Sus scrofa: one gene and its partners. The protein of the gene in region 1 binds, or shares a complex with, the protein of each later gene. Links are inferred from orthologs where the notes say so. Each region holds a gene or a part of one and is shown on either strand. Other genes may lie near its edges.

Region 1 (11,010 bases):
ATCTTAAAAGTTAAGATGGTGTGTAGGTTCTCCGCCAGGAATGTCACAGCTATGAAGTCATTTAAAATTGACTAAATCTTTTTGGGTTTGCTGTTACATTAAAATTCCAGTTGCTGGTTGGAAGAATACACGAGACTATGGCTTCCCGTCATGGGAGGCCCCGTGTGTAACTTATCCATGTGCTCCTCCTCTGCTCTCAGCCCCTCCTCCTTCCCATGCCTAACACAGTACTTTGGATACAGCAGATATTCAGTACTTGTAAGCTGAATAAAGAATCAAATCTTACATAGCTCGTATGTTGTTCAAGACTGATCTAAGGAGTTCCCACTGTGGCACAGTGGGCTAAGGATCTGGCATTGCCTCAGCTGCAGCTCAGATTCAGTCCCTGGCCCAGGGACTTCAACATGCCACAAGTGCAGCCAAAAAAATAAAATAAACTATGACCATACTTAAAAAAAAAAAACAGACCTAAAATCAGATCTATGTAAGCAATGAGATTCTGATGTATAGCACTGGGAACTCTATTTAGTCACTTATGATGGAGCACGATGGAGGATAGTATGAGGAGAAGAATGTGTATATGTATGTGTGACTGAGCCACTGTGCTGTACAGTAGAAAACTGACAGAACACTGTAAACCAGCTATCATGGAAAAAATAAAGATCATTTAAAAATAAAAATATTCATGGGGGAAACCTAAAAAAAATAAAATCAGATCTATGCTTTTACTTTTTTTGAGCACATACAGAAATCAAATTTTTCATTTGTCTCTAATTATATATACATACTTCTTCCTGGCTTTCGGATCTCTTTCATTATTTGTGCTTTTAGTTCAGTGTTGACCTCTTCATGGCTTCTGCAATGCATTAGTTTCTTTCCTTTGTTGAGTGAGGATGCTGGTATATTCTCTTCAGGACATTGTTCTTTATCTCTGGGCTCCTCATGATTTTCTAAAAATCCACCAACAGTGAGGTCATTAGTTCCTAAATGGTCATGACCAAGACCCTCTGTATGATTGGCTGGTCGTTCCAATAAATTGGCTGGAGAAGACGTTGAAAATTCAGTATCCATTGCATTTGGTGTGATATCTGAAGAAAGTTGGTCTGCAACATGATTTTCAACTACATCATCTATTGTCGAATCATTAGTGGCTTCTGAAACTAAAAACAAAAATAAGGGGAAAAAATTGAGAGCCAATTTCCAGACATACAGTAAAGAAAAGTGCAAAGAAACAATATTACAGCAATTCACAAATGCTCTCTCCTTGACCTGATGCAAATTAACAAATAATGTGATATGGTTCTTAAGCCTTGCCAAATATATGGTGAGTTTCAATGTGAAACTTTCACACCATTTATAAAATTTGTACAACTCTTGCCCTTAGGAAAAAAAAAAAAAAGCTAATTTCAGATAACTTTCAGTTCTCACTTTATTCAATTTTATTGAATAAATTAGGTTTGGATGCTTTAGGGAAATATGTGTGATCAAGATTATCATGGATATAGTTTTTGTTAGAGTACTAGTTCATTCCATCCTGCCTCTGCCTCATGTAGTTACTACTTAGAAGCAAAGGTGAACACAAACCAAACAGGTGGTCCCGCAGCATCCCCTTTTCTTATAACCATTCATCTAGTCGTAATGCACAAGAGCCAGTGCCCACTTCAGCTCACTAGACGACCATACTTAAAAAGCTTGCAAGCTTGCCACTTAATATTAGATTATTAAACTTGCTCCCCACAGAAATCAGCTTAATTCCAAACTCTTTGACTGCTTACCAACCTCCAGGAGCCCAGCTGAATTCATCTCTGTTTTCCTCATTTACTGTCCAAAATGTAAACTCATCCCCATAAAAACCCCTCGAACCCCAGGAGACTCCCTCTCCCTCCTAAATCCTGTTCCATGATTTGCAAACTTTACTGAATATTCTCTATAGCAATTCCTGCTTTAACTGACACCCAATTCTCCCGCAAAGATACTGCACTTTCTTTTTCAGATCTGAAAAACAGAAACTGCTTTCTCGCAAACATTCTCAATGAACTTAAAATAAGGATTGGAATCACTGATTCTTTCACCTCCCAGGGCCACTTCAAGATCATTTCTCCATACACTCTTGCAAAAACTCTTTTTCTCTTTTGGGATTTAGCTGTCCCACTCCAGCCATCCTCACTCTGCTCAGCACTATCTTTACTGATCTCCAGGGCACACCTGTGGTCAGGGATGTGTCTGGCACCTGGTCCACAGACTTCATCCCTTGGGATATCATTCTGGGTCCTTAGTATTCAAATTGTGGTCTGTGGACAGGCAAGCAGCATTAGCACCAGCAGAGAGCTGGCTAGAGGTGCTCACCTTAAGCCCTCCCCCACACAATTTATTACAATCTGTCGTTTAACTAGACCACCTCCCTCCCCTGCCTCCGAGACTCCTATATACATTAAAGCTTGAGAAGTGCTGCAGTGTGTGACATCCACACCTAAGGAGATCACCTGCCAAGAACCTGGCCTCCCAATTCCTCACCTTTTCGTCTCCAAAGAACTTTTCCACCCACCTCTTTGATTCTCAAGTCAAACACAAATTCAAGGACAGAGATGTGTGTAACCCTCATCTTGGCAGTATTCCTCCTACTGCTCTTGAACTCAGCCAGACTTTCACTCCCAGCAACTCCTCTACTTTCCCCCTCATATTAATGAGATTCTTTCTAGATATCCACTTTCTTACCTAGCCAACTTATATCCCATAATGTATCACTTTTTAACCAGTGTCCCAGATTCTCTCATCCTATTGTCTTCCCATGACACCTGTCAGGCAAAAATCCCCAATTTTTGTTTTGAAAAATCCCAGATTTGATGATGCAGTCTATCTGCTTGCGCCAGACTCGCAGGTGGGATGATGGGTAAGCACTACTGGAGAATACGAGCCAGCTCTGCAGAGTGGTCACAATCACCGTCCGTGACCTGGGTCTTAGCACTGCCTAGCCCTCTTACTACAACCTTTGCTCCTCTACCACACACACACACACACAAAAATCATTTGCACCTTCTCCTTCCTCCTAACGTAACATCTCTTACTTTCCCAATCTCTCCTTCCTCTCAGCATTAAGTCACCTCCAACTTCAAGGAGGAAAGAAAAGCTGTAGAATGGGAACCTCCTCAACTTGCCACCGTTACACTTGTGCCCACCACACCTGCTCAGCTTTAATGGAAGAAACGTCCTTCATGTGGGCTCTGAACCATTCCCTTCCTCCTTCTCACTGATTGTACTTTCTTTTACCTTCATTTTCAGCCCCCCTCCCATTGATTCCATCACACCAGCATTTAAACATACTCAACTCTGTCAACTTAAAGACCTTCAGACCCGCTTCAGTCCTCCTGGTCTGCTTAAGAAGCATCTGAGACCACCAACTACTCAATGCTCTTTCCTTTTAGCTTCCACACCACACTGAATTCTTCCCTATTGTCTTCTGGATTCTTCCCTTTTTCTCTGAATCTTATTTCTCCTCTTAAACTTCATTACTTTCAAAGTTCTATTCTAGGCTTTTTCTTCTCTTTCCCTAGGTCACTCAATGGGATTTAAGGCTGCCTCCCATACCCATCTCTCCAGCCCAGTTCTCTTCTCTGAGTTCCAATTCAACTATCCATCTTCTAACTGAGGATCTCCACTTGGCTATCTAATAGATATTTCTAAACTAAACTCATTCAACACCTCTTCTTCCACTCCATCCCTAGCACACTCAAATACCCACTGTCTCTCCACTGCTCCCCTGCCCTGACTCCAACATCCAATCAGTCATCACCAACTCCTTTGCTGATGTGTCCAAGTATTTCTTAAACATTCTTCGCACAACCCACTTCCAGGTCACCATTAGCTCTTCCTTGTGTTTCCCAACTGTTGCCTGTGCATCCCTAACAATTAATTAATAGTATCAAATACCCAATCACTGCCCACAATCTCCAATTGCCACATTTTCTGTGTCTGTGGAAAGTTCAGGGTCCAAATCAGACCATAAACACACTGCAATTGATTTATATGTTTTAATCTATAAAATCCTTCTGTACCTCTTTTTTTCCATGCACTTTTTTTTTTTCTGGAAACACACACACACACACCAAAGTCTTTGTCCTATAGTTTCCCGCAATCTGGATTTTGCTAATTATATCTGTTTTGTAATTTAACATGTTTCTCTGTCCCTTATATTTCCTAAAAATTGGTACTTAACAGAGGCTTGATTAGATTGATGGTCAGTTTGTGTGTGTGTGCGTGTGTTGGGAAGAGGAGAGCAAGATGACTTTAAAAGTAATACTGTATAATTCCATCAAGAGGTATAATATTAATTTCCTTCCAGTTAAGACATTATTAGCCATGAAAGATCACCACCTGCAATTAACAAATCCATTAATTAAGAGTTTCCTATATCAATTCTCATTCTTGCCCACAATAAGGCCAGCCTGGTCTTTATAAAATGCTAATCAGATCAGATCATTACCTCTTTAAAACCTTTCAATGGATTTTCCTTGTCCTTAGAATAAAGTCTAGAATCTTTACAGTGGCTTCCAAGGCCCTCTATGATCTGGACTCTGCATGTGTATTTCAGTTCTCACCTTACCTCATCCTAACCCCTAATGTGTTAGAATTCTTTCAGCTCCCCTAATGTCCTGCTCTTTACTGTATGCCTTTGCACAGATTCTTCTTAGACGACTACTGTAGCACAGGCGAATGCACAGCTTTAGTTATTAACTAATTCCCATTCATCCTTCAAGTGGTCGCTTAAACATAACTTCCTCAGCTAAGTGCCCATAGACTATGTTAAATCCACTTGCTAAATGTTTCCCAACATACCAGACTTCCCTTCTGTAACATTCATCATACTTCCAGTGAAATGTTCGATGACTTTCCTTCCTCACTCATTATAAATGCGCACAGTGATCACTGTCTTGTTTACCACTATAACTCAGTGCTTCGCACTGTCGAAAATAGCATATCATGGAGTTCCCATTGTGGCTCAGCAGCACAAGGATCCGACACTGTCTCCCCTGAGGATGTGGGTTTGATCCCCGGCCATGCTCAGGATCTGAGCCTTGCCACGAGCTGTGGTGTAGGTCACAGATGCGGCTCAGATCTGGTATTGCCACGACTGTGGCCTAGGCCTCAGTTTCAGTTCCAATTTGACCCCTAGCCCAGGAACTTCCATATGCCACAGGTGTGGCCATAAACAAACAAAACCGTATCATTTAAAAATTAGTGGTTGAATTAAACTGAAATTGAAAACCATCTTTCTGTGGGTATTGATAACACCCCTTTAGAAAACTGTAGTTTTTAAATATTTAAGATTTGCAAATGATATTTTAGATCATGATAACTGTTAAACATAATAAGCACGAAATGTTCAATAACCGTTCATTTAAAAGATATAGAGAAATGCTTACATGCTAATTTAGAATAAACAAGTATCTTCTCTTGGACTTCATCGATTTTTTTCCGTAATATATTACAAAAATCTCTTCCGTGAAGAATCAAAAAACAACAAATAATGTTAAGGACAAACTCTTACCTTTATGAAGAGGAAGGGGTTTAATAAGATCTGGCTGTGCTTGAGTCATAGGTACAGGTGGCCCTTTTCCTCCAATATGATTGTTCACAACGGGATTCTGCTGTCTGCCTCTCAGTAGTGGAGACATACAGCGGCGTCTTTTAGGGATGCCTTGCATATTTGGTTCTCCAGGTCGTTTATGTTTATTCTGAGGTCCAGCCACAAATTCATCTGCCTCATCTATCATCATTCCCTATAACAAGAAAGAATATAATTTCCCTGTCTTTACATACAGTTTTTAAATGGCACAAATAATTCCAATTACCATTAAAATAACTATATTTTAACTATGTGACATTAGGTATTCTACCAGGAAAATAGCTTCAGCTTACTTGAGTTAGATTAAGAACTGTTAAATTCACAGTGCCTAGCACAAATAAATTATATAAATAACATTCCAAATTTACCTTTTTATCCAGCTTAAAGGGGTTGCCAAATGTATGCAACCTTCGAGGCTGATCAGGATCAAGTTCTCTTAGTGGAGAAGGTACTTGCTTGAGGTATTCCTGGTAATTCCCCATTTGTGCTATAGGAACACTGTGCACTTGATCTTTTCAAACAGAATAGAGCAACAACAAAAGTTAACCTCACTAAAACTACCTTCCATGTGGTTATCGAATAATATCTTCTCATGAAAACAACCTAAATGTCCATCGACAGATGAATGGATTAAGATGTGGTATATATACACAATGGAAAATTACTCAGCCATAAAAAAGAACAAAATAATTCCATCTGCAGCAACATGGATGGAACTAGAGACTCTCATACTAAGTGAAGTAAGTCAGCCAAATACCATATGATATCACTTATACCTGGCATCTAATTATGGCACAAATGAACCTTTCCACAGAGAAAATCATGGACTTGGAGAACAGACTTGTGGTTGCCAAGGGGTAGGAAGAGGGAGTGGGAGGGACTGGGAATTTGGGGTTAATAGATGCAAACTATTGCCTTTGGAATGGATAAGCAATGAGATCCTGCTGTATAGCACTGGGAACTGTATCTAATCACTTATGATGGAGCATGATAATGTGAGAAAAAAGAATATATACATGCATGTGTGACTGGGTCACCTTGCTGTACAGTAGAAAATTGACAGAACACTATAAACCAGCCATAATGAAAAAAAATTAAAATCTTAAAAAAAAAAAAAGAAAAAAGAAAAAAAATAGTGTCTCCTGATGTATGACTGCTCCCCGGAGTTACTGGGGGCAGTCCTCCCTTACCACATGGCCTACATTAGTTTGTTGCCATTATAAATATTGTGACAGAATCTAGAGATTTTTAAAAATAAAACTTAATTATCTTCTAAACAAAACAAATTTCACTGTATAGAACAAGCAATATGTTTAACATTTCCATGAAAAGGAGTGTCTCTTCTACTCTATTCCAAATAATTATAGCATAATTTACAGGAAAATGATGTAGATTACCCTTTTTATAGAACGCTTAGTTGAAATGCTTATATCAGAGTGGGCAAAGGGTTAAGTTCCCACCTGACTTGATTCGTAGTAGCTGCCATGGGCAGAGTAGAAGAAAATACCAGAATATGACATATTTTGGCCATTTAGAGTTAAATTATCGGATATTAGTACATCACAAGAAAACGATGTTGTTTGTGTCTGTGCCTATATGTGTGAATGTATAAAGAAAGCCAAAAAGGAAACTAAGCTGTTAACAAAGATTGTTACTTCTGGGGAACAGAATTGGGCACAACAGTGACGGCAGTAAGAAATGCAGAGAATGAGGGATGAGTCACTTTTTACTTCATTCAATGATTATGTAATACTACTGTAATAATTCTTTAAAAGTTACAGCAGCATTCTATGTGTTTTCAATATAAAGAAAGAAGTTTAGTAAAGAAATACCAATATTAAAACGATAATCTAACCTTCATCCTGTCCTTTAAGAAATCTACGGGTGCTCTTCAAAAGATTAGATCTCATTCTTGTTAAGTGATCCAGAAGATTCCGTCTTGGTATGTCATATGCATTTCTAAATGTCTGTGGTTTCAAATCCTGTTAAAAAAGATTCAAAGACAAAATTTACTTTGAAACATAGAATTAAGAGAAACTAAAATCTCTAGCCTGCAACACAGCTTTGGAAATATGATATACAAGTTAACTAATTAGCTTAAAATTAGAATAAAGAGATATGATGCAATCTTAAGAACCTAAAAATACAAAATTGGTAGTGAGATTCAACCAAATAATCTCAAATTCACATCTGTCCAAGATTTTATTATATATTCTGGCTAAGAGAAGTAAATATCTTAGAAAATGATTTCCAAATTTTAAAGAGTATGAAGGTTTTTATTAAAAAAATCCTTTGATGTATTGTTTACATAACATAAAACTACCCATTTTATATACACAACTTGATGAGTGTTAGTAAATGTATAGTTGTGAAACCATCATTATGATCCAGTTTTAAGACACCTCCATCATCCTAGAAAGTTCCTTGTGCCCATTTGTAGTTAATTCCTACTGTAAGCAACCACTAATCTGCTGTCTATGTTCTATTTTATAAGTGGAATCTTGCAATATGAAATCTTTCCTATCTGGCTTCTTTTATTAAGCATGTTCTTAGGATTCAACAATATTGTTAAGGTACTGCGAGTCTATTCCTTTTTTATTGCAGAGTAGTATTCCATTACATGGATATACTATAACTTTATTCATTCACCTGTTGAAGAACACTTAGATTGTTTACAGTTTGGGGCTATTACAAATAATGCTTCTATGACATTTACATACAAAACCTTTATATACATACTTTCATTTATCTCAGGGGAAACCTACAACTAGAACTGTTGGTCATATAGCAATATTTACCTTTCTTAAGAAACTGCAAACTATTTTCCATCAACAATATATGAGCGTTTCAGTTGTTCTACATCCTTACCAATACTTAATATTTTTCAATTTTAAATCTTAGCCATTTAGGTGGGAATGAAATGTGATCATATAGTTTTAATTTACATTTCCTCAGTGGCTAATAAGGTTGAACCTCTTTTCATGTTGAGTTTGTATAGCTTATTTGGTGAGGTGTCTGTTCAGATATTTTGTCCATTTGAAAAATGTATTTTATTTATCTTTTGGCCACGACCATGACATGCAGAAGTTCCCAGGTCAGGGATCGAACCCACACCACAGCAGTGACAGCATCAGATCCTCAACCTGCTGCACCACAAGGAGACTCCTTATGTTGTGCATTTTTCAACTGCATATTTGTTTTGAGTTCTATGAGTTCTTTATATATTTTGATACAAGTCCTTTATTCAATATATGCTTTTCTCCCAGGCTGTAGCTTGCCTAGGAGAAACTTCAAAGTTTCTTCTGAAAACAAAAATGTTCATTTTTAACAAAGTTCATGGAGTTCCTGTCGTGGCTCAGCAGTAACGAACCCGACTAGTATCCATGAGGACACAGATTCAGTCCCTGGCCTCACTCAGTGGGTTAGGGATCCGATGTTGCCATGAGCTGTGGTGTAGGCAGCAGACGTGGCTTGGATCCCATGTTGCTGTGGGTGTGGTATAGGTTAAGGCAGCTACAGGTCCAATTCGACCCCAAACTTGGGAACTTCCATATGCCACAGGAGTGGCCCTAAAAAAGACAAAAACCGGAGTTCCCGTCGTGGCGCAGTGGTTAACAAATCCGACTAGGAACCATGAGGTTGCGGGTTCGGTCCCTGCCCTTGCTCAGTGGGTTAACGATCCGGCGTTGCCGTGAGCTGTGGTGTAGGTTGCAGACGCGGCTCGGATCCTGTGTTGCTGTGGCTCTGGCGTAGGCTGGTGGCTACAGCTCCGATTCGACCCCTAGCCTGGGAACCTCCATATGCCACGGGAGCGGCCCAAGAAATAGCAACAACAACAAAAGACAAAAACGACAAAAAAAAAGACAAAAAAAAAAAAAAAAAAAGACAAAAACCCAATTCAGTCTATCAAATTTGTATGCATTTGTGTGTGTGTGCTTTTGTGTTACATTTTAGAAATCTTCACTGACCCATGATCCAACATATTAAACAATTTATCCTGTTTCCTTGTAGAAGTTTATAGGTTTAGTTATGACCATGATCATCTCAAGTAATGTGAGGCAAAAGTTTATAAATATGGATATCCAGTTGTTCCTGCACTATCAGTTAAAACGGCTGTCTCTTCACCCACTGAATTATTTTGGCATCTTTATTAAAAACTGACTGTACATGTGAGGGTCTGCTTCTACTGACCTGTATACTTATCCCTATGCCAACAATACAACATACTGATCACTGAAGCTTTACAGAAACTTTTAAAAGTACATAGTGCAAGTGTTGCAACTTTCTCTTCCAAAATTGTTTTGGCTATTCTAAGACCTTTACACTTACATATAAATTTTAGAATCACCCTGTTTCTACAAAACAACCACTGGGATGAGGACCTTTTTAATAATGATTATTCACAAAGCGTTTCAGAATCATGCTGTGCTCCCAAGGTCAGCAGTGTAAGTACCAAACTACAGCGAACCCTACCCTTAGCTATGTGACTTTCAGCCTGTCTTCTCATCTATAAAATGAATGGGATGGTTTGCTCTTTGCCAGTCCACTTATCCACTCACCAGGTACAGTGTTGAACTCTAAAATTCAATGATTCAGTAAGAGTATAATTGATCATTTTTCTGCAGAGGTATAGAAGTTTGGACAAACTGAGCATCAGTGAACAGAAAATTGGATGTATTAAAACAATATAACAATGTAACTAGAGCAGTACTAAATTCCTATAACCATTACCTTATTAAGCAAAGCAACTTGGAACCCAGTGTATTCTTTCATATTAAGGTCTAGCAGTCTGTGAGGAACATCCTCTGAAATTCCCTGGAGCAGCTGTTGAAAATCTTTCCTATAAGCCATTGATAAACCATGTGATCGGCTTCGGACTTTAATTCCAGTTTCCTGTACTACTTTTTTGCCTACAGAACCGATGACTCGATCAGATTCTATTTTGGCCTAAAGCAAAAATAAACAAAAGTTGTCTTGACATAATCTAAAGTGGTAAATTAAATGCTAATAGTTTTGGTCTTCTATAAATTATTCCCTACATTTAAAAAGAACACAGGAAATTTAAAGCTCTACTTAGTACTGTAGTTTATTTTCAGTTCTTGGTAAACTTAACATAGTTTATAATGTCTTAGGATTTTAAATGATCACAATTCTTACCTTTTGGGGCAGGACATACAAATACAACTTCAATTTATTTTATTTATTAATATCCACTACCCCTAAATCATGAAATGTAAACGTATCCTTTCCAATTCAGAGACCATGTAAAATTAGAAAAAGAAAATTTCATCAATGTTTACTTACATTATAGCCAACATATAACTAAATGCTCAAAGATATGGCAAATAGAGATGAAGTTTTTCACTAAAAAGCAAATAGCAATATTT
Region 2 (11,010 bases), on another chromosome or scaffold:
GATCATGTCTTTTGGTATTTCTCTAGGTCCACTCTTGGTGCATTCCAATCGTGTTTTTTTTTTTTTTTTTCTTTTCATTTTTTTTATTACTCAAATGAATTTATCACATCTGTAGTTGTATAATGATCATAACAATCTGATTTCACAGGATCTAATCATGTTCTAATATTAGTCATGGCCCCCCATTCAGCACTGGACTCTCGGACACTGACTGAACTTAATAATTTCTGGTGCTAATCTACATTTCCTCCATTTTATGTATCTTAAAATGAGAACAATAGAATGTAGGATGTGTCCAGTCCTGAGCTCTGCTCTAATGCTTTGCCAGTGAGTGAGACTTGGTCTTTTTTTTTTTTTTTTTTTTTTTTTTCTTTTTTTTGGCTAACCCATGATTGCCTATGGAGTTCCCAGGCCAGGGATCAGATCCTATCCTAGCCACAGCTGCAACCTACACCAAGATGCAACAATGCCAGATCCTTAACCCTCTGTGCTGGGCTGGGGATCAAATCTGAGTCCCAACACTCCAGAGATGCCGCCAATCCTGTCATGCTATAGTGGGAACTCTGAGACTTGGTCTTAATGACGAATGAATTAGACATTTAATTTGCAAAGTTGATAAAGAAAAAAGGTATCCCAGATGAAGAGAAACTGAGAAGCAAGGCATATGGGAAAATGAAAGTTCACCATATACGCAAGGAATGAACCATTTGTCCGGCATGGCCATAGTATGTTGGTGTATACGGCGAAGTGGCAGGAGAGAAGGATACAAAGGTAAAGTAGGTCCAAGAGAGAAAGTCTATACATTCACCCTGGCAGGGATAACCTCATTATATCAGTAACTGAGAGCCACTGGTAAACTTGAACGATGAAGTTTGATAAATATTTTAGAAGAATATTCTAATTACAGTGAGTAAAGTGGACTGAAGGGAAGAAAGAGACCTCTTAAGCTAAAATAATAGACAAGAAATGAGGGATTTGTGGAACAGGGTAATAAAAGTGAAATGAAGATTTAAGAAATACATTAGAGATACAATTAACAAGTGCGGTAAACAAAGGGATATGGAATTAAGAGAGGCATCAAAGATAATGTTTTCTAGTTCAGGAAATAGGGGAAAAAAACTGAGTGGAGAAGAAAATAATTTTAATTTAAAAAATGTTGCACTTAAGGACTTCCCTGGTGGCCTAGCAGTAAGGATTCAGCAGTGTCACTGCCATAGCTCAGGTTCAATCCCTGTCCTAGGAACTTTTGCATGCTGTGGATTATTATAGTAACAATAATAAAAATTAAATTAAAAAAATAAATAAAAATATTAAACTTAAAGTAACTGTAGGATATCTGTTCTGCTGCCAAAATCCACTCCAGAGAGGGTTAGAACTATAAAAAGGGGAGTTCCTGTCATTGCCCAGCCGAAACGAATCTGACTGTCCATGAGGATGCAGTTTGGTCCCTGGCCTTGCTCAGTGGGTTAAGAATCTGGCATTGCCATAAACTGTGGTATAGGTCGCAGATGCGACTCAGATCTGGCATTGCTGCGGCTGAGGTGTAGGCCAGTGGTTACAGCTCTGATTCGACCCCTAGCCTGGGAACCGCCAGGGTGTGGCCCTAAAAAGACAAAAAAAAAAAAAAAAAAAAACTATAGATATACATTTGGTGTAAACTAAGTCACAAAATATAAGGGAGGGAAAACTTAGGAAAGAACAGTACTTACTTTATTAACAGAGTTACAGTTAAATAATAATAGACTTTGAAGTTATACTGAAGAAAAGACAGATAAATGCTACAAATTATTTATCCTGACTTAATTCTTAGTGACTACTTGTGTCGATGCATTGGAATGCACTATATTGTTTACCCACAAACACTCTGATGACATCCTGGAGAGCTAGTTTTATTACTTAAACTAAATAAAAATTAGACTGAGCAGAAAAAAAATATACCTTGTCATAAAATTTCCTGTTACAAACAGAAAGTATAAATACTACTGAAATTTTACAACTTTTCATAGGAATAAAGACATAATCTAATTCTGATTTAAGGGATTAAAAATACAGTAGATATCTTTGTTGTTGTTGTTTTTTACTTTAAGAACTTCTGACTTTAAAAAGGTACATTTGGTCAGAAAAATTTTATGTAGAAATTCATTTGGTTATCAGATACGAGAACTTTTCTATCAGGAGTCCCTAATCTAATGCAGGGGGAATGGTGGTGGGAGAGGCAAGCAAGTCACTGAAGTAAATAACAACTTGACTTTTTAACAATGTTCATCTACCTATTTTTTAAATGAATAAAAGTTAGAAAATTATCCAATATAACAAATGAAAACATGTTCAGTATGATATCAAAGGCAGTTAAGTTTGTCAACAGGCAACTGAGGTAGTACTCTGGAAAATAGGATAAATGGTCACTTGAAGACAATAAGAAGGAAAGACTGAGAAGCAAATAAAGAAACCCAGAAGGAAAGACAGAGATGCAATACAAATACTACCTCTGTACACAGTTTGTATGTTTGGTGATTTATGCTCACTCAGGAATAGGCATTTCCAATATTTCATTACCAGACTCACCAAAGACTGGGGCTTTGTATCTCACCACTTCCCACAGTGCTTTGCATTATTATTATTATCATTAATATTATCATTATTATTATTATTATTTGTCTTTTTGCATTTTGAGGGCCGCTCCTGTGGCATATGGAGGTTCCCAGGCTAGGGGTCTAATAGGAGCTGTATCCACCGGCCTACACCACAGCCACAACAACACGGGATCCGAGCTGCGTCTGCGACCTAGACCACAGCTCGCGGCAACGCCGGATCCTTAACCCACTGAATGAGGCCAGGGACCGAACCTGCAACCTCATTGTTTCTAGTCATATTCGTTAACCACTGAGCCACGATGGGAACTCCTGCATTATTTTTTTTTAAATGTTTACAAATACACTGACATACTACTAAGGAATGTTTATATTTTGTGGGTCTTCGATCCTGTTTGTTTATACCAGAAAGCGCTAAAGATAAATAGAAAAAAATACATACATGTGGTCTGGCCCATTTAGGCAAATCTACATAAATCACACATACTATGGTACATACACAAACATTTACATAATCGGCTTACATGATTTATTTTTATCAGTAGTATAAATGTCCAATTTTTATTTTAAAAAGCACATATCAACAAAAAAACTTCACAGAGATTGTTTAAGATGGAGAAAAATGATTCCTACCATTCTCTTCATTTGTCTGGTACATCGGGCACAATACCACACAAGGCGAGGGTCGTTCACTTCCTTGTCTGTCACCTGGGGCTTGTGGCAATCTTGATGGTAGAGATTATGGCATTCCTGACATTCTACTAATTGATTACCTGATGCCACTGTCATTTGCCTAAGAGAATACACCATTAAACAATACATTTATTTGAATGCAACAATTTAAAGCCATTTTAAGGTTGTTCTGGTAAAGTTTGATATACTAAAGAGGGTAAAATCCCCTGAAAACCAAAGAGCAAAATAACAAACCCCAACATATAGCCTGTACAAACACTGTTTCTTTTAAAGGTTTTTTTTCACCATTAAGAAATACATGAAGTGACTTATTGACTAAATCTGGCTCTATTCACCTTGTCATTTCTCATCGCAATTTTTTTTCTTTCTCCTAGAAGGTAGTAGACTTTGGCTAGTCCTCCAACAGTCTCATAACATCTTTGTACTTGTACCTCTATTAAATTCCTTTATATATATTGCCTACATATTTTTCTATCTTCTTCATTACTATATGAGTTACCTAAAGGTGGCAACTGTACCTAATAGTCTATAGAGCCTAGCACATTATTGTGTAGACATAGGTTGTTCAATAAATAAATGTCTTATCAACTGAATAGAATGTAGCAATATGTGTATCAAAAAAGTATAAATTCCAACAGCAATAGCCTTAGGCTAGAATAAGAAGTCTCCTGATGGAGGGCTACAATTACTAGTTCTTTCCCTCTTATTACTTTACCATTTATTTCTTTATATAAAAATGATAACCCTTATGGTAAATAAAGGTTGAGAAAAATACATGTGAAAATAATGAAGCTCTAGCAATATGATCCCATTCAGAAGTACATTAACTGATTCTCTAAAGGTTCACAAAAGTTTATAGATATAGGCTTAGTCCCAGTGCACCAGAGTTTAACATTTTCATGAAGAAAATACCAATAAAGGTGGCTATCTTTTCTGCTGTGCTAAAGCAATGAAAGCCATTAACAATTAAAAATATAGCTCCTGGCATCAAGTTGCTTAAAAATCTAATTATCCTGAATTTTAAAATGCCTCTTTTACTAAGCAGAATTATCTGTGCTTTTATAATTATGTATCCATGTTTTAAAACACACTCAAAATAACCTACATGATCCAATCATTTGTTTCCATTATCCTTAGGAAAATATTTAATAGTATTTGAGAAAATGATACATAACTTTTTACTTTATAAATACTATCAACACTTTAGGAAAAAAAAAAGAAACATTGTCTTTTTTTTTTTTTTTTTTGTCTTTTTAGCTATTTCTTGGGCTGCTCCCGTGGCACATGGAGGTTCCCAGGCCAGGGGTCCAATCTGAGCTGCAGCCACCGGCCTACGCCAGAGCCACAGCAACGCGGGATCTGAGCCGCGTCTGCAACCCACACCATAGCTCACAGCAACAACGGATCATTAACCCCCTGAGCAAGGGCAGGGACCGAACCCGAAACCTCATGGTTCCTAGTCAGATTTGTTAACCACTGCACCACGACGGGAACTCCAGAAACATAGTCTTCTTAAAAAGAAAGATGGAAATAATTAAATCTGCTGAACAGGCTCTTCCTCACTGAAGAATAAAGCAATAATTGCTTTCCCTCTAGAACCCAAGAATGCAGAAAGTGTTACTACAGCATAACTGACCAAAGATGCCAATGTCAGGAAGATAAAATATTGAAAATTTTCAAGACAAACTGTCATATGGGCAGTTCATGGGGAATAATCTCCTTATCTTCTACCCACCTCTAAATAATAAAAACAAAGTAAAAACGCCCAACAATTCATCTCATTTTTCTTTTGAGAGATGTTTGCTCTTTGCAAATAAATAAAATAATCTGTGGCAAGGTATAACTTACCTACAAACAACACAGGCCAATCCCATCTCCATGGCAAAATCATCAGCACTCGTCTCCTCAAAGCTGGAAAGGTCAGCTATAGCCAAATCCTTGCTGGTTTGGACAGTAATGGGAGAAGACCGTGTCTCTGGCTTCTCCAATCTTGGTTTCTTTGGAATATCAGCTCCTTCAGTGACATCTGATTTCATCTATTAAAAAATCACACTAGAATAAATTTTAAATCACAGAGAGATGGGATAAAACAGACAGTGTGCAATGACCAAGTCTACTCATCAGATATATTCACAGTTAGACCTGTCGAAGATGGACAATAAAATCACAATCAGTATGTTAAAAGAAACCAATAAGGTGGAACAGTTTAACATGGACCTGTATTTCTCTTTGTAGTCTTTTATCCATTAAAGAATCCTGGAAGTTCAGGAATTTACTTATACTGTCTTTGACTACCTCCCCCAAACCCCCCACCATTCGATACTTTGAATTGAGAAGCCACAGCACAATTAAGGCTATTTTTGTTTTAAGTATTTTAAATTATGAACTACTGACATTTAAAATACATTGAAAAGAAGTAAATAAATAATGAACTTCTATCAGTCATCCAGGCCTAACACATCTCCATATTTGCTTAAAAGCAAATTCTGTCTCCTCTCTTTAAGACATAAATATTATGGATATACCTGTCAGATTGGCAAAAGTTAAAAGTCTGATAAGACATGGAGAATTCTGAATTCAGACAAAAAAAAAAGAGTTCCCGCTGTGGCACAATGGAAACGAATCCGACTAGAAACCATGAGGTTGCAGGTTCAATCCCTGGCCTCACTTGGTGGGTTAAGGATCTGACATAGCCGTGAACTGTGGTGTAGGTTGCAGATGTAGCTCGGATCTGGCATTGCTGTGGCTGTGGCATAGGCTGGCAGCTACAGCTCCGATTAGACCCTAGGAACCTCCATATGCCGCTGGTGTGGCCCTAAAAAGACAAAAAAAAAAAAAAAAAAAAAAAAAAAAAAAAAAAAAAAAAAAAAAAAAAAAAAAGAGAATTTTGAATTCTTATACTTTATCAGTGAGAGTATAAACTTATAATCCACTTATGCCTAATGATGTTGAAGATATACCTATCTTATTACATCCACTTATAGGTATACATCCTATAGAAATTATCACCATGTGCAAAAAAGCTCACTGATGCTCCATTGTAACAGAGAAAAAGAATAAGCTAATTGCCTATCAGTTGGGGAGTGGATAAACTAATTTATACATAGGATGAATATTACATGGTAGTTGAAAGAAACATTCAGATCTGTAAGTGTCAACACAGGTAAATATTAAAAGGACATTTTTTTTTTTCTTTTGTCTTTTTGTTGTGGTTGTCTATTTTGCTGGATATATTCCAGGTAGTTGAATGAGCTGTAGACCGTACGCAACACAGCAACGGATTGTTAAACAAGTAAAAAAAAAAAAAAAAAATTTTAAAGCGAGAAAAAAAAAAGAAAAAGTTGTCAAACGATATGTATGTACAGCATTTATACAAATTTAAAAACACAAAAAATTATACCATATAGTTTATGAATAGCCAATATTTAGAAAAAGTACTAAAATATTCCAGGCCAGAGGTTACTAAGGTTTCTCTAAAAACATTTTTTAAATATAAGTGCAAAAATCCTAATAATTAATTATGTGAGGAAATCATTCAAAATAGACAATCCATGAGTTATCTATACCCCTGTTAAGGTACAGGCCATTCTGTAACAAATTTCATATTTAGTCATTTACACCTTTATTCGTTCCTCGCTATCTTTTCTTTTCAACAACTGTTCCACTCGGAACATTTGAGTTGTAAGATTACACATAAAATTAGTACATCCTCTAGGGCTTAAATGTTGTTGACAATGACTTCAGTAAGTGGTTTAAAAATGTTTCTAAATTTTTAATTTTTCAAAAAACCAACACCTATAATTATCAAAACATATTTACTGATTATATACTTTTATCCACTATTACATACAAAGAGAGCAAAATATTTTTCTGCCAATAAACAACTGATTGACTGATTGATTTACTAGAGTAAAATAAAATCTTACTTTATCAGCAGGTCTCTTTTCACCTTCCTTCTTTACCTTTTCAGTTGTAAGGACCTTGCCATTATTATTGCCAGAAGGAAGACTGGATGTTGTTTTGGGCTCTTGCTTAACAGACACAGTTTTTGTGCTTGAAATTTTGGGTGGCTCCATATCCTATAAGTGAAATTAAAAAGATATCCATAGTGAAATATTCAGATTATTCAATATATTGTTAAAACAAAACAAGAAACAAACAACAACAAAAAAGCCAGATCATAAATCTAAGCAATTTTCAGTTAAAAATTAAGACATCATGTTGTGACCAATGTATTGTCCTTTTCTTTAAACAACTGATATAACCATACTTGTGAACCTGGGATGAATCCCACTTGGTCGTGGTGTATGATCTTTGTTATACGTTGTTGGATTCGGTTGGCTAAAATTTCATTGAAAATTTTTGTGTCTATCTTCATCAGAGATATTGGCCTATAGTTTTCTTTTTTGGTGGTATCTTTGTCTGGTTTGGATATTAGGGTGATGGTGGCATCACAGAATGTCTTTGGGAGTGTTCTTCTTCAACCTTTTGGAAAAATTTAAGGAGGATGGGTATGTTCCTCTTTGTGTTTGGTAGAATTCACTTGTGAAGCCATCTGGTCCTGGACTTTTATTTGTAGGGAGTGTTTTTATTACATATTCAATTTCATTTCTAGTGATCGGTCTGTTCAGTTGATCTATTTCTTCTTGATTCAGTTTCGGCAGGCTGTAAGTCTCTAGAAAGTTTCCATTTCTTCTAGGGTGTCAAATTTGTTGGCATACAATTGTTCATAGAATTCTCTTGTGGTTTTTTGTATTTCTGCAGTATCCATTGTGACTTCACCTTTTTCATTTCTTATTTTGTTTATCTGGGTTTTTTCTCTCCTCTTCTTGGTGAGTCTGGCCAGAGGTTTGTTAATTTTGTTTACCTTTTCAAAGAACCAGCTCTTGGTTTTATTGATTTTTTTCTACTGTTTTTTGAATCTCTATTTTAATGATTTCCTCTCTGATCTTTATGATTTCCTTCCTTCTGCTGACTTTAGGTTTCATTTGTTCTTCTTTTTCTAATTCATTTAGGTGATGGGTTAGGTTGTCGATTTGAGATTTTTCTTCTTTTTTGAGGAAAGCCTGTATTGCTATGAATTCCCAGGTTCACAAGGATGGTTCAACATATGCAAATCAATTAACATCATATACCACATTAACAAAAGAAAAATAAAAAACCACATGATCATCTCAATAGATGCAGAAAAAACATCAAAGTCCAACATTCATTCATGATAAAAACTCTTACCAAAGTGGGTATAGTGGGAACATACTTTAACATAATAAAAGCCATTTATGACAAATGCACAGCCTATATAATAATCAATGGAGAAAAAGCTGAAAGCCTTCCCGCTAAAATCTGAAACAAGACAAGGATGCCCACTCTCACCACTTTTATTCAACATAGTACTGGAAGCCCTAGCCACAGCAATCAGACAAACAAAAGAAATAAGAGGTATCTAAATTGGAAGAGAAGAGGTAAAATTGTCACTGTATGCAGATGACATGATACTATACACAGAAAACCCTAAGGACTCAAACCAAAAACTACTCGAACTGATCAACAAATGCAGCAAAATAGCAGGATATCAGATTAACACTCAGAAATCACTCACATTTCCATATACTAACAATGAAATATTAGAAAAGAAATAAAAAAATACCTTTTAAAATTGCACCCCAAAAAACCAAATACCAGGGAATGAACCTGACCAAGGAGACAAAAGATTATATGCTGAGAACTGTAAAACATTAATCAAGGAAATTAAAGAGGATGCAAAGAAATGGAAAGATATTCCATGCTCCTGGGTTGGAAAAATTAATATTGTAAAAATGGCCATACTACCCAAAGCAATCTACAGATTCAATGCAATCCCTAACAAATTAACAAAATTACCTGCGACACTTTTCACAGAACTAGAGTAAACAATCCAAAAACTAATATGGAACCACAAAAAACCGAGAATTACCAAAGCGATCCTGAGAAACAAAAACCAAGCTGGAGGCATAACTCTCCCAGACTTCAGGCAATACTGCAAAGCCACAGTCATCTAGACAGTGTGGTACTGGTACCAAAACAGATATACAGACCAAAGGAACAGAATAGAGAACCCAGAAATAAACCCAGACACCTATGGTCAATTAATCTTCGACAAAGGAGGCAATAACATAAAATGGGAAAAAGAAAGTCTTTTCAGCAAGAATTGCTGGGAAACCTGGACAGCTGCATGTTAATCAATGAAACTGGAACACACCCTCACACCATGCACCAAAATAAACTCAAAATGGCTGAAAGACTTAAATATAAGATAAGACACCACCAAACTCCTGGAAGAGAACATAGGCAAAACATTCTCTGACATCAACCTTACAAATGTTTTCTCAGGTCAGTCTCCCAAAGCATCAGAAATAAAAGCAAAAATAAACCAATGGGAACTAATCAAACTGACAAGCTTTTGCACACAAAAGGAAACCATAAAAAAACCCAAAAAGACAACTTACAGAATGGGAGAAAATAGTTTCAAATGATACAACTAACAAGGGCTTAATCTCTAAAATATACAAACAACTTATACAACTCAACAGCAAAAAAGCCAAAAACCCAACTGAAAAATGGGCAAAAGACCTGAACAGACATTTCTTCAAGGAAGATATTCAAATTGCCAACAACCACATGAAAAAATGCTCAACATCACTGATTATTAGAGAGATGCAAATCAAAACTACCATGAGATACCACCTCACACCAGTCAGAATGGCCATCATTAATAAATCCACAAATAGCGAATGGTGGAGAGGGTGTGGAGAAAAGGGAACCCTCCTGCACTGTTGGTGGGAATGTAAATTGGTACAACCACTATGGAAAACAGTGTGGAGGTACCTTGGAAAACCACACAAAGAATTACCATAATACTCAGCAACCCTACTTTTGGGCATATAACTAGACAAAACTTTCCTCGAAAAAGACACATGCATCCGCATGTTTATTGCAGCACTATTCACAATAGCCAAGACATGAAAACAACTGAATGTCCATCAACAGATGATTGGATTAAGAAGATGTGGTATCTATACACAATGGAATACTACTCAGCCATAAAAAAGAATGACATAATACCATTTGCAGCAACATGGATGGAACTAGACACTCTCATATTAAGTGAAGTAATTCAGAAAGAGAAAGACAAATACCGTATGATTTCACTTGCATCTGGAATCTAATAAATGGCACAAATGAACCTTTCCACAGAAAAGAAAATCATGGACATGGAGAACAGACTTGTGGTTGCCAAGAGGGAGGGGAAGGGACTGGGAATTTGGGGTTAATGGATGTAAACTATAGCCTTTGGAAGGATAAGCAATGGGATCCTGCTGTATAGCATTAGGAACTATGTCTGGTAACTTGTGATGGAGCATAATAATGTGAGAAAAAAGAATGTATACATGTATGTGTGACTGGGTCACCTTGCTATGCAGCAGAAAATTGACAGAACACTGTAAATCAGCTATAATGGAAAAAATAAAAATCATTATTAAAAAAAAAAACAACTGACATAAAAGCTGCATCTACTTAGAGTGTAAAATCTGCTAAGTTTCACTATTTGGTTTCACTATAATCAATATAACGAACAGATCTATCATTCCCCAAAATTTCCTTGTGGCCCCTTGTAATCACTGATGGAGATAGACATCCTAGAAAAACTAAATAACCCAGTCTCGGGCAATCACTAATTTGCTTTCTG
Region 3 (11,010 bases), on another chromosome or scaffold:
GAGACAGTGTCACCTTCTCTAGTGCCACCTCCAATGCTAACTCAGTGTTCTTGTGTATCAAACGTAAAGTTGAGAAAGAAGGGAAAGAAGACTGATTTGCCTGAAAAGGACACAAGAGGTAAAAACGCACTTGGTTCTATAAAACTCACACATACTTTGGGGCAGGCACAGATACTCCTCCTGCAGGAAGCGATGGGGCAGAATGGTCAGAGGAGTCAGTCAGTCAGGTCCCAGGGGTCAATTCCTGGGCATACCAGGCAGAACAACTAAACAAAGCCTTTCTGGGAAAGCAAGCTGCTTCAAGTTTTCAAGAAAAGTCAAGTGTGAGTCCTATCAGCAGGGCCGGAGCACTGCTCAGTCATGAGGAAGCAGGTACCAGTATGTTCATGGCAGACGGGGTTTCCAAGGTAATTCCCACAGGGTGTCCCCATGTTATTAGGGCCCAGGAGAGCCACACAACTCAGGGGGAACCCTCCCTTCAGAGACAATGAAATCATTAGCATAGAAAATTCCCAATAGAGGGAGAGCCCTTAATATTTGAAAAAATGCAGGATTAAAGACAAGACGGCAGGGTAGAATGACCTGAACTCACCTCCTTTCACGAACACACCAAAATCACAACTAAATGCTGACCAACCATAAACAAAAAAAGACTGGAAACTGCCAAAAAAGATATTCTACACCCAAAGAAAAAGAAGCCCAACAAGAGTAGGAGGGGTGCTTTCAAGATATAAGGAAATCTCATACCTGCTGGGTGAGTGACCCAGAAGCTGGAAAATAACCATATTGCAGAGGTTCTCCCACAGGACTGAAAGTTTCAAACCCTGTGCCAAATTCCCCAGCCTGGTGGTCTGGCATTGAGTGTAGAAACCCCATAGGACTATGGGAGCACACAAGCTTTCAGATGTACCAGGTCCCAGGGCAAAGCAGGAGCCTGGGCCAAGCCTAAGTGTGGGTCTTAGAGGGTCTCCTGGGGAGGCAGAGGGTGGCTCTGGCTCACTGTGGGGGTAGGTCACTGGAGATGGAGGCCCCAGGGAATAATCATTGGTGTGAGCTCCCTGGGAGGCTGTCATTTGGAAACACCTGACCCCATCCAACAGCCAGAAGGCTCCAGTGCTGAGAAGCCTCAGGCTGAACAACCAACAGGATAGGAAACACAGCTCCACCCATCAGCAGACAGGTTGCCTAAAGTTGTCCTAGGCAAACAGCTGCCTCTAGTCACACCCCAAAATTAAATGAACCAAAATTAAAGACAAAGAAAAGGAACTTCTCTAGGCAGAAAAGTCCAGAACTAGAAATAAGAAAATTACAAATGAGAAGGCCCACTGGTAAAGGCAAACATAGCATAAAGGTAGGAAATCATCCATACACAAATATGACATCAAAACCAGCAATCATGAGGAGAGTATGATTACAGGATATTAGAAAAGCATTTGAAATTAAGAGATCAGCAACTTAAAACAATCTTGTATAGACTGCTACACTGAAACATCAAGGTAGTTTTACAACTATAAACGTAATAAAATTCACAGAAAAATAAACAACCAAAAACCTCATGGTAACTGCAAACCAAAAATCTAAAATAAATAATACACAAATAAGAAAAAGCAATCTAAACAGAACACTAAAGAGAGGCATCAAACCACAAGAAAAGAAAACCAAAGAGGAAGGGAAGAAAAAAGACCTACAATAATAAATCTAAAACAATGAACAAAATGGCAGTAAGAACAAAAATATCAATAAGTACCTTACATGCAAATGGATTAAATGCTCCAATCACAAGACAGAGACTGGCTAAATGGATACAAAAACAAAAGACCCACTTCAGTTCTAGGGAACATACTGAAAATGAGAGGATAGAAAAAGGTATACCATGAAAATAGAAATCAAAAGAAAGCTGGAGTAGCAATACTCTTATCAGACCAAATAGACTTTTTTTATTTTTAGGGCCTCACCTGAGACATATGAAAGTTCTTGGGGCTAGGGGTCAAATTGGAGCTACAGCTGCCAGCATACAACACAGCTGCAGCAACATAGGATCCAAGCCAAATCTGCGACCCACACAGCTTGTAGCAATGCCAGATCTTTAACCCACTAGCAAGGCCAGGGATCGAACCCACATCCTCATGGATACTATTCAGGTTCTTAACCTACTGAACCAAAATGGGAACTCCAAAATAGACTTTAAAATAAAGAATGTTAGTTACAAGACAAAGAAGGACACAATACTGATCAAAGGATCAATTCAAGTAGAAGATATAACAATTGTAAATGCATATGCACCCAACATAGGAGCACCTCAATACATAAGGCAACTGCTAACAGCCATGAACGGAGAATCAATATAGAAAGTAACACAGTAAGAGTGGGAGACTTTAACACCTCACTTACAGCAATGGACACATCATCCAGACAGAAAATCAATAAGGAAACTCAGGCCTTAAATGACACATCATACCAGATGGACTTAATTGATATTTATAGAACATTCCATCCAAAAGCAGCCAGATACACATTCTTCTCAAGCGCACATGAAACATTCTCCAGGACTGATCACATGCTGGGCTACAAAGCAAGCCTTGATAAATTTAAGAATACATTAAGACCCTTTTCTGACCACAATGCTAGAAGACTAGAAATCAACTATCAGAAAAAAACTGCAAAAAAAGACAAATATGTGGAGGCTAAACAATATGCTATCAAGCAAGCAATGGATCACTGAAGAAATCAAAGAGGAAATAACAAAAATGCCAGAGACAGATGAAAATAAAAACATGAGGATACAAACCTTATGGGATGCAGCAAAAGCAGTTATAAGAGGGAAGTTTATAACAATACAATCTTATCTCAGGAAACAAGAAAAATCTCAAACCTAACCTTACACTTAAAGCAACTAGAGAAAGAAGAACAAACAAAACCCAAAGTTAGTTGAAGCAAAGAACTCGGCAACTGAGATATTTAGTTTGGACATAGGCAGTACCTTAGAAGAATATCTCTTTCCTGGAATTATTTACTAGAGTTAGTAGTAGTTCTTATAAGAAGCAGCATGAATAATATTAACTTTAGCTAATTCCTCCTCCTATCAAGGAATCTTTAATTCTGATGCCAAAACAACAGTAATCTCTGAAGTCCTGTGACTGAAGCCAGAATTTAAAAATCCTTTCAGATGAATTTTTTTTTTTCTTTTTAACTGTAGCCAGTAAATCTCTTCCTTGGAAGGAGCAGCCATCAGGGACAAGGGGTGGCATGGCTGCTGAGCCAGGGGAGGGACGACCATCCCCTAAAATGCCCGCCTGCTCTTCTCTCCTCCCACCCTGCCTGGGAATGGCTGGCCCTGCATTCCAAGCTCCTGGGGATCCAGTGATGCTGATGCCCTCTGCTCACACTGGCAACACGCCCACCCCTAGTCTTGACACTCAGCCTGGACACGCCTCTCCTGTGAGGTGGCCATGCTGGCTCTGATAGCAAGGGGTGTTCTCATGGAAGAGAAGGGGTCCACAGGGGGTAGATCCTTCTTCCTACTGGCCTCCACCTGCCCCCCCCAATATGTCCCAGCTACATTTTCAGAGAAAGACCTTTCTTTAGTTTATTCCCACAGGAAGCAGGGTCGGGTGGGGGTGTCTCCCCACAGATGGGTATTGCAGGGGGAGGAAGGGCCAGCAGGGGAACGACCAGGGCACCATGGAGAGGGCACGCTCTCCTCTATCTCTGCCATGACCGAGGACCAAGCAGATACTCCAGGGGCAGCAGCTCAGGCAGTGGGGACTAATAACAAGCAGCAGCCACCGTGAGCGGAGCAGGACGGCCCCAGCACACGCACTCACCTTCTCCAGGGTCTGCACAAACTGTTCCACAGGGATGGAGCCACTCAGCAAAGGCTTCACAACCTTGCAGTCGGGGACTTCCTCACTTGCCCGCTTTCTCTTCTTGCCGCCTACGGGCTGGGCAGGCCTGGGTGGGGGCTGGGCAGGAGGAAAGCAGGAATCAAGAACTCCACCCATGAGCTGCAGAGATTAGTGCAGGCCACCCGATAATCTATCCCAAGCAGGACCCCCTCCAGGTGGTGGAAATACTTGGCAGGCATCTGTGCTCAGGGTCACCCCCAGCCGGATTCCCAAACAAGTTGAAGCCAACCACACCTGGAGAATCAACTCCTTTGGCAAAGACATCTTCCCTTTATCAAGATCCATTTTAAATTTTAAATCAGTTCAATTCAGGACTGAGTAAAGTCTTAATAAACCACGTTGGTGGCAGTAGGTGGAGCAGCACAGCAGCAGGATGCTGGCTATGGGGCCAGCCTGGTTGGTTATAGTCTCTCCCTCAAGAAAATGAAGGGCAGAGAAATAGCCCATAAGATGATGATGATGAAGAAAATTTTGTGAGGATTAACTAAATGCATGTAGGACCCAGCTCAGGGTACGGTATGATGTCAGTGGCTGCTGTCAGCACATGATGAGAGCGACGAGGTCTCAAAGAGCTGCCCCTCAAGGTGGCACATGGGCCATGAAGTGAGGTGCGGAGCCCTCCAGCTGCCCAGCCTCAGGCCACCTGCCCCAGTCTGCTGCCTTCCAGGCCCCTGTGGGCAGGAGCAGGGACTGCGTCTGCTGTGGGGCCCCCATCCCTACCCCAACCTTGCAGGCTCAGGGTGGTGCCTATGGGAGCTTGCTGAGAGCACGTGGGCAGCTGGTGATGCTGGTGCCCTCAGAGCTGTGGACCACACTTGGGATGATGCGTGGTCCCATCTCCATGAACAATCATTTCTCTTGGCTTCTATCTCCCACGTAAGGTGTGGAGAACTGATATGCAGTGCTCTCTCCATTTCAAATCAAATCCCTCAGGTAGTCTGGTCTCCAGTATCTGGTGGTGTGGGAGGCACTGTCCTGGGGGCTGGCTGGAATGTTAGCACCTTCTTGGGAGGAATGGTTCCCCGTTAGCCCCACCCACCCTTCCCTACGATACCTGAAGAACGTGCTTGTTATCTTTAGTGTGCAGCACGGCTGAGACGGTGGCCAAGGAAATGCCAGGCTTAATCTCCATGGGCACCAGAGAGTCTGCGAGCTGTGGGGCAAACAGAGGGGTTTAAGTCAGGCTCAGTGTGAAGTGGGGGGAAGGGGAAATGCACAGCTCGGAGACGGATGGTGATAGCCCAGGGTCAGCACACCATGTGCCCCGGCCAGCCTGGTGGGAAAGCTACCAGATAAAGCGGAACTTTTAATGATTACTATTTATTCACTTTTTCTTCTTTTGAATTTTTACTTACACCATTGCAATCTAAAATGACCAAATAAGTTTAAGAAGGTAAAAAAACCTCTAATTTTTAATAAAAAATACATCTTACACACACTCAATTGCAATGAAGACAGGAGGTGAGAGAGGGGCAGACGAGAAAAGATGGGACTGTGGCAGCAGGTAAATGGGCTCAGAAGAGGAAGCAAACGAAGTGCAATAATTCTTGCAGTGCTTTTCCTGGAGACTGGCTGAGACTCTCCGCAGAGTCACCCAGGTCAGGCAAGAAGACTATCCAGAGCGCTGGTTCTCAGTGTGGTGCATGGTCCCTGGGGCTTCTGAAGCTCTTTCAGGGCACTGAGATCAATACGGCTGTCATTAATAAGATGTTTTTGCTTTTTCAATTTCATTCTCTCCTGAGTGTTCACTGGAATTTTCTAGAGGCTCCATAACATGTATATCACAACAGACTGGAAGCAAAAGGAGACAGCCAAATCCAGCTGTCTTCCACAAGTAGGCATTTGCAAGAATCAAACAGTGATCTTATCTTTTTTTAAAGAAAGATTCTCATAAAAAATATTTTAGTTATGTTAACATCTAATGGGCTTATATTGTTTTAATTTTATTAAATTTTTTTTCTGGTTTTTTTTTTTTTTTTTTCTTTTTGCCATTTTCTTGGGCCACTCCCGCGGCATATGGAGGTTCCCAGCCTAGGGGTCCAATTGGAACTGTAGCCGCCAGCCTATGCCAGAACCACAGCAACGCGGGATCCGAGCCTCGTCTGCAACTTACACCACAACTCACAGCAACGCCAGATCCTTAACCCACTGAGCAAGGGCAGGGATAGAACCCGCAACTTCATGGTTCCTAGTCGGATTTGTTAACCACTGAGCCACGACGGGAACTCCTATTAAACATTTTTTAAAAGCCTTTAATTTTTAACATAGCAAATATCAATAGATGTAACCCTCACACACAAACGCTCCTGGGGGTCTCATTTTTCGGAAGTCTTGAGACCAAAACATTTGAGGACTGCTGGCTTAGAGGACTGGAATCTGAACCTAAGCCTTCAAGCCCAGAGCCACTGTAAATACCAGACAAAAAAGAATCCAAAGACACTGTGTCAGAGTCTTTCACTTTGAGATGAGCAAAATGCAAAGAAAATGAAAAGCAAAATAATAAAAACACATTAAATAATAATAATAACAACTAGAAGTGGGGATGGTTAGTGCCACTTCTATGCTACAAATTACAGAACAAAAACTTGGACCCTTTTTGGAGGGAGAACTTGCTTTCATCTACCCGCAGCAACCAAAAAAATCCACTATCAATGCCAAATTACTACAACAAAACAAAAAAATCCCAGCACAGGCAATATTAACCTCATGGGTTAAGCAACCCGAAGTCTATAGCAAAGAGCCATGATTTCAAAGATCCAGCAGGTTTCAGGAGGACAGTTGGTCAAAAAAGAGTCCTGACCAACCTGCAGGATGACAGAGCTAGGTATCCAGGGACCCACAATGGCACACAGGTGGGGGTGGGGCAGGCCTCAGGGTCAAGGCTGAGGTTCTACGCCTACTGTACTTGAGGGAGGGGCTTCATGAAAGACAGAACAGGGTGCTGTGCAGCCCTCAAAGCCAATCTCTTGCTCCTCTGGCTCAGTGTCAGGTTTAACAGAGGAAGATTTACCTTTTATGTTGCTGATTTAAAACGGGAATAAGGAGTTCCCATTGTGGCTTAGCAGTAATGAACCTAATAACCACGGGGATGCGGGTTCGATCCCTGCCCCGATCAGTGGGTTAAAGATCTGGTATTGCCGTGAGCTGTGGTATAGGTCAGAGATGCTGCTTTGATCTGGCATTGTCGTGGCTGTGGTGTAGGCTGGCAGCTGTAGCTTGGATTCGACCCCTAGCCTGGGAACTTCCACATGCTGAGGGTGTGGCCCTCAAAACAAAAAAAAATGAAATAAAAATAAATAAAGAGGGAACAAGCTAACATGGACTATTTAATCACGGTGAGGATAAACTTGGGCATGGGAAATGCCAGAAGTTTATTAGTCAGATTGTTTCTCTGTAGATGGCTAGCATTTCTGTTTGTGTCTTCCTTTGGCCTTTTTTATTAAAACCTGGCACATGTGGAATATACAGAGGTCTCTTACACGCGTGGGTCTCAGATTTTAGCTGGAGGGCTGGCTAATACCCAGACGGCTGGGCCTCCCCCTGGAAGGTCTGATGCAGTAGGACTGAGGTGGGCCTGGAGAACTTGCACCTATAACAAGTTTCTGGGATGCTGCTTGCCGGTTCTGATTACCCTGAGCACCCCTACTGCGATGTCTGGGCCGTGGGCCTGAGGGCCACATTAGCACAAATCAATCAGAGGCCCTACTCTCACTTAGTTTCAAGGACAAAATCTGTATCATTCGTTAGCTATGACCTTTGGGGAAGAAATACAGTGGTGATCACCTGAGGCTTCTTCAGAGATGGAGAAGACCCTTCCTTCACTGCCTGGTGAGACCAGGTCAAATGGAGTAAGTGTACCTGTGTCATAACGTGAGTGAGATAATCCATGGAAAGTGCGGAGTACAGGCCCTGGCCCATTGTGAGGGCTCAATAAACATGATCTGCATGATTAAATAAGGGAGGCAAGGAGCTGGGCCAGCGAAATATGGAGAAAGGATAACCTGGAACCTAGAGATGAAAGAATTTTTATTCTCTTGGTCTTGCTAGGATGTGGCCTCAGGGGAGAGCAGAGGAGAGGCCAGCTCCATGCTAAGTGCTGTCAGGTGCACTAAGCGCCAGGAGGAAACTCCTGACACCGGCAGCCCTGGCCACCTCTCTCCTGAAGGGGCTGTTACTAGAAATCAAATCAAGTGCTGAGCTGAGAGACCAGGGTGTGAGCTGCTGTACTCACAAGCCCTAAAGAAAAAGGAATATTTTCCTTTTAAAGAATTAGGCAGTCAGCCTAAGGAGCTGTACGGATCTTTCCACCAGGTTATTGCCTAACATGTGGTTTGACTGCCCCTTTATTTATTTATTTTACTGGCCTCACCCACGGCATGTGGAAGTTCCTGGGCCAGGGAGAGAACCCACACCACAGCAGTGACCCAGGCCACCACAGTGACAATGCTGGATCCTTAACCTGCTGTGCCACAGGGGAACTCCTGGACTGCCCCTTTAAAAAAATCATCCTGGAGTTCCTGTCATGGCTCAGTGGAAACAAATCTGACTAGCATCCATGAGGATGTGGGTTTGATCCCTGGCCTTGCTCAGTGGGTTAAGGATCTGGCGCTGCCATGAGCTGTTGGTGTAGATGGCAGACATAGCTCGGATCCTCTGGTGCTGTGGCTGTGGCACAGGCCAAAGGCTGCAGCTCTGATTCAATCCCTAGCCTGGGAACCTCCATATGCCTCCGGTGCCCACCCCCCCAAAAAAGACAAAAAAATTATGTTTATAACTTTCCCTACTTCATCTCTCCAGCCTGGACTCACAGGCAGCATGCCTGGCTCCCTCCATCCGGCCACACACTGTGTGCTGAGGAGGGTACATGTGCTGTGCCAGCTCCTTCCCCAGGAAATAAGAGTGAAATGAAAATGGGTGTAAAATGTGAATGATTATCTACTTACATGTGCCTTAATGAAAAACAACTGCTTGCAGTGAAAAAAAAAATCTGGCTAGTTTGATGCTGCTCAATCAATTTTATCTAAATTAGTTATTGGAATTCATTTAGATCTCCTTTATCTATTGCTCTTAATAATAATAATAAAAATACCTCAGGTTAATTGTGGAAAAGCCTGGATGTACTGGACACTGGGGCCCTGTTCATGGCACATGGCCTTGCTCCCCCACCAGACTGTCAGGGCCTTGGGGGTGGGTAATACGCAGGGGCTTAGCCTTCAAACCTAAGATCTGGATATTCTTCTGAGCTCCAGAGAGCATCTGGGTACACTGCCTTTTTTTTGGCTTCGTGCATGGCATGTGGAAATTCCCAGGCTGGGGATTGAACCTATGCCACCCACAGCAATGACCCAAGCCACAGCAGTGATGACGCTGGATCCTTTAACCTGTAGGCCACCAGGGAACTCCAGGGACACTGCTTTTAATGATTGGTTTTCCTACCTCTTTTCCCTGTTTGTCAAAAACATGTTCAAGCATTTCAAGAGGCAATGGGAAGCCAGCAGCAGCGTCCCTCTGAGCTCTGCACACAGTCACTGCAGGAGTCAGCCACATGCCTTCTGCTGCCTTCTCCTCACACCTGTCACTGGTGTACAGCACACCTCAACTGTGCTGCCTGCACCATATGCTTTTACTTTTTCCTATTAAAATAAGCTCAGGAGTTCCCGTCGTGGCGCAGTGGTTAACGAATCCTACTAGGAGCCATGAGGTTGCGGGTTCGATCCCTGCCCTTGCTCAGTGGGTTAATGATCCGGCGTTGCCGTGAGCTGTGGTGTAGGTTGCAGACGCAGCTCGAATCCCGCGTTGCTGTGGCTCTGGCGTAGGCTGGCAGCTACAGCTCCGATTTGACCCCTAGCCTGGGAACCTCCATATGCCGTGGGAGCGGCCCAAGAAAAGGCAAGAAAAGACAAAAAAAAAAAAAAAAAAGCTCAGATTTTGCACAGCTAAGAAATAATTGGACTTCAATAGAATAAAATTAAGTTATACTAAAATGGACAAAAATGATAATCAAAGCTCACACTCCTTCCTTTTCAGTCACTCATCTCCTCCATCTATCTCTGAACTTAGTGAAACTTGACCCTCGATCCTAAATAAGGTCCAGGAGGGAGGAGAAACCCCACAGCCCTAAGGTGGTTAGGACAGAGCAGGCAGCGGCGCTTCTGTTCTCCAGGCCCTGGCTCCCCGATCACATGCTAAACTTCAATATAAGCAGTCCTCCAGCAGGCCTGATGCTGACAGCTGTTACTTCATCACCTGAAACATGAGGAGGCTCTGAAAATTTCACCCCTCTCCCCAGTTACTGGCTTAAGGTCTATGTGCTTAGGTTCACCTGTGTGTGACGCAAACCCCAAAGGCGGCCATCAGGGACTCAAGTGGGAAACCCAGGTTAACCCTGGGAGGCGGCACGGCTCACCTCAGGCATGATTTCGATCTTCTCGTACCGACGCTTGAAGGGCAGGGCGAGGACCTCGGCGCGCCGGTAGGACATGGCGGGCGGCTGGCAGTCGATCATCAGGTCCATCCTGTGGGACTGCGCTGGGGGCGGCTGGGTGTACTGCTCGGGGCAGACCACGTGCAGGGGCTGGGGTGCCAGCGGGACGGGGCCAGAGCAGCGAGAAGGAAGGAGGAGGAGAGGAGGACATGAGGTAGAAGCAGGCCTTCCCCACTCTGATTCTCCCTTCCTAGCGCTCAGGATCACCTCTTGGTGGTTTTGAATGTCCGTCCTCTCAAACCCAGCAACCAGCGAGGGAAGTTGGCAGGAAGAAGGACAAAAGTTGCAGGGAACACCCCTGACCTGCTGGCTATGCTGATGAGTGAGGAATTTACTGCCTCGGCTTGTACTTGTTTCTCTTTTTTCACTCCATTTAAGTCACTTTGATGGTGACATTTACCCGAGTGTCTGCAAGTCCCTGGAGGGCAGTCTTCTTGTCACTTACCAACATCTATTGGTACAGCTACTGGCTGCTTAGCAAGACCTGAGACTTTCTGTACTAGTTTGGTTTTCTGGGGTTGGAGTTTTTTCTGGTCTGGATCTGCAGGTCTACTGTTATTAGGCAGTGGGCAACGGTCAGGCCATACCTTCAATTGTGTGTGACACACTGAATCTGACAGA

Evidence for each region.
Region 2: INTS6 (region 1) and INTS12 share a complex: the UniProt entries of both Homo sapiens proteins name them as parts of the integrator complex. The link is inferred for Sus scrofa from reciprocal best matches to the Homo sapiens genes INTS6 and INTS12.
Region 3: INTS6 (region 1) and INTS9 share a complex: the UniProt entries of both Homo sapiens proteins name them as parts of the integrator complex. The link is inferred for Sus scrofa from reciprocal best matches to the Homo sapiens genes INTS6 and INTS9.

What each region holds. Positions count from the first base shown.
Region 1 is NC_010453.5:16,451,679-16,462,688, reverse strand, and holds part of INTS6 (integrator complex subunit 6), read right to left. Parts: intron 10,571-11,010; coding exon 10,355-10,570; intron 7,606-10,354; coding exon 7,479-7,605; intron 6,135-7,478; coding exon 5,992-6,134; intron 5,778-5,991; coding exon 5,546-5,777; intron 1,161-5,545; coding exon 789-1,160; intron 1-788. UniProt on the Homo sapiens protein: Component of the integrator complex, a multiprotein complex that terminates RNA polymerase II (Pol II) transcription in the promoter-proximal region of genes.
Region 2 is NC_010450.4:116,044,055-116,055,064, reverse strand, and holds part of INTS12 (integrator complex subunit 12), read right to left. Parts: intron 7,364-11,010; coding exon 7,211-7,363; intron 5,321-7,210; coding exon 5,133-5,320; intron 3,385-5,132; coding exon 3,225-3,384; intron 1-3,224. UniProt on the Homo sapiens protein: Component of the integrator complex, a multiprotein complex that terminates RNA polymerase II (Pol II) transcription in the promoter-proximal region of genes.
Region 3 is NC_010456.5:12,578,372-12,589,381, forward strand, and holds part of INTS9 (integrator complex subunit 9), read right to left. Parts: intron 10,480-11,010; coding exon 10,312-10,479; intron 5,059-10,311; coding exon 4,960-5,058; intron 3,963-4,959; coding exon 3,825-3,962; intron 1-3,824. UniProt on the Homo sapiens protein: Component of the integrator complex, a multiprotein complex that terminates RNA polymerase II (Pol II) transcription in the promoter-proximal region of genes.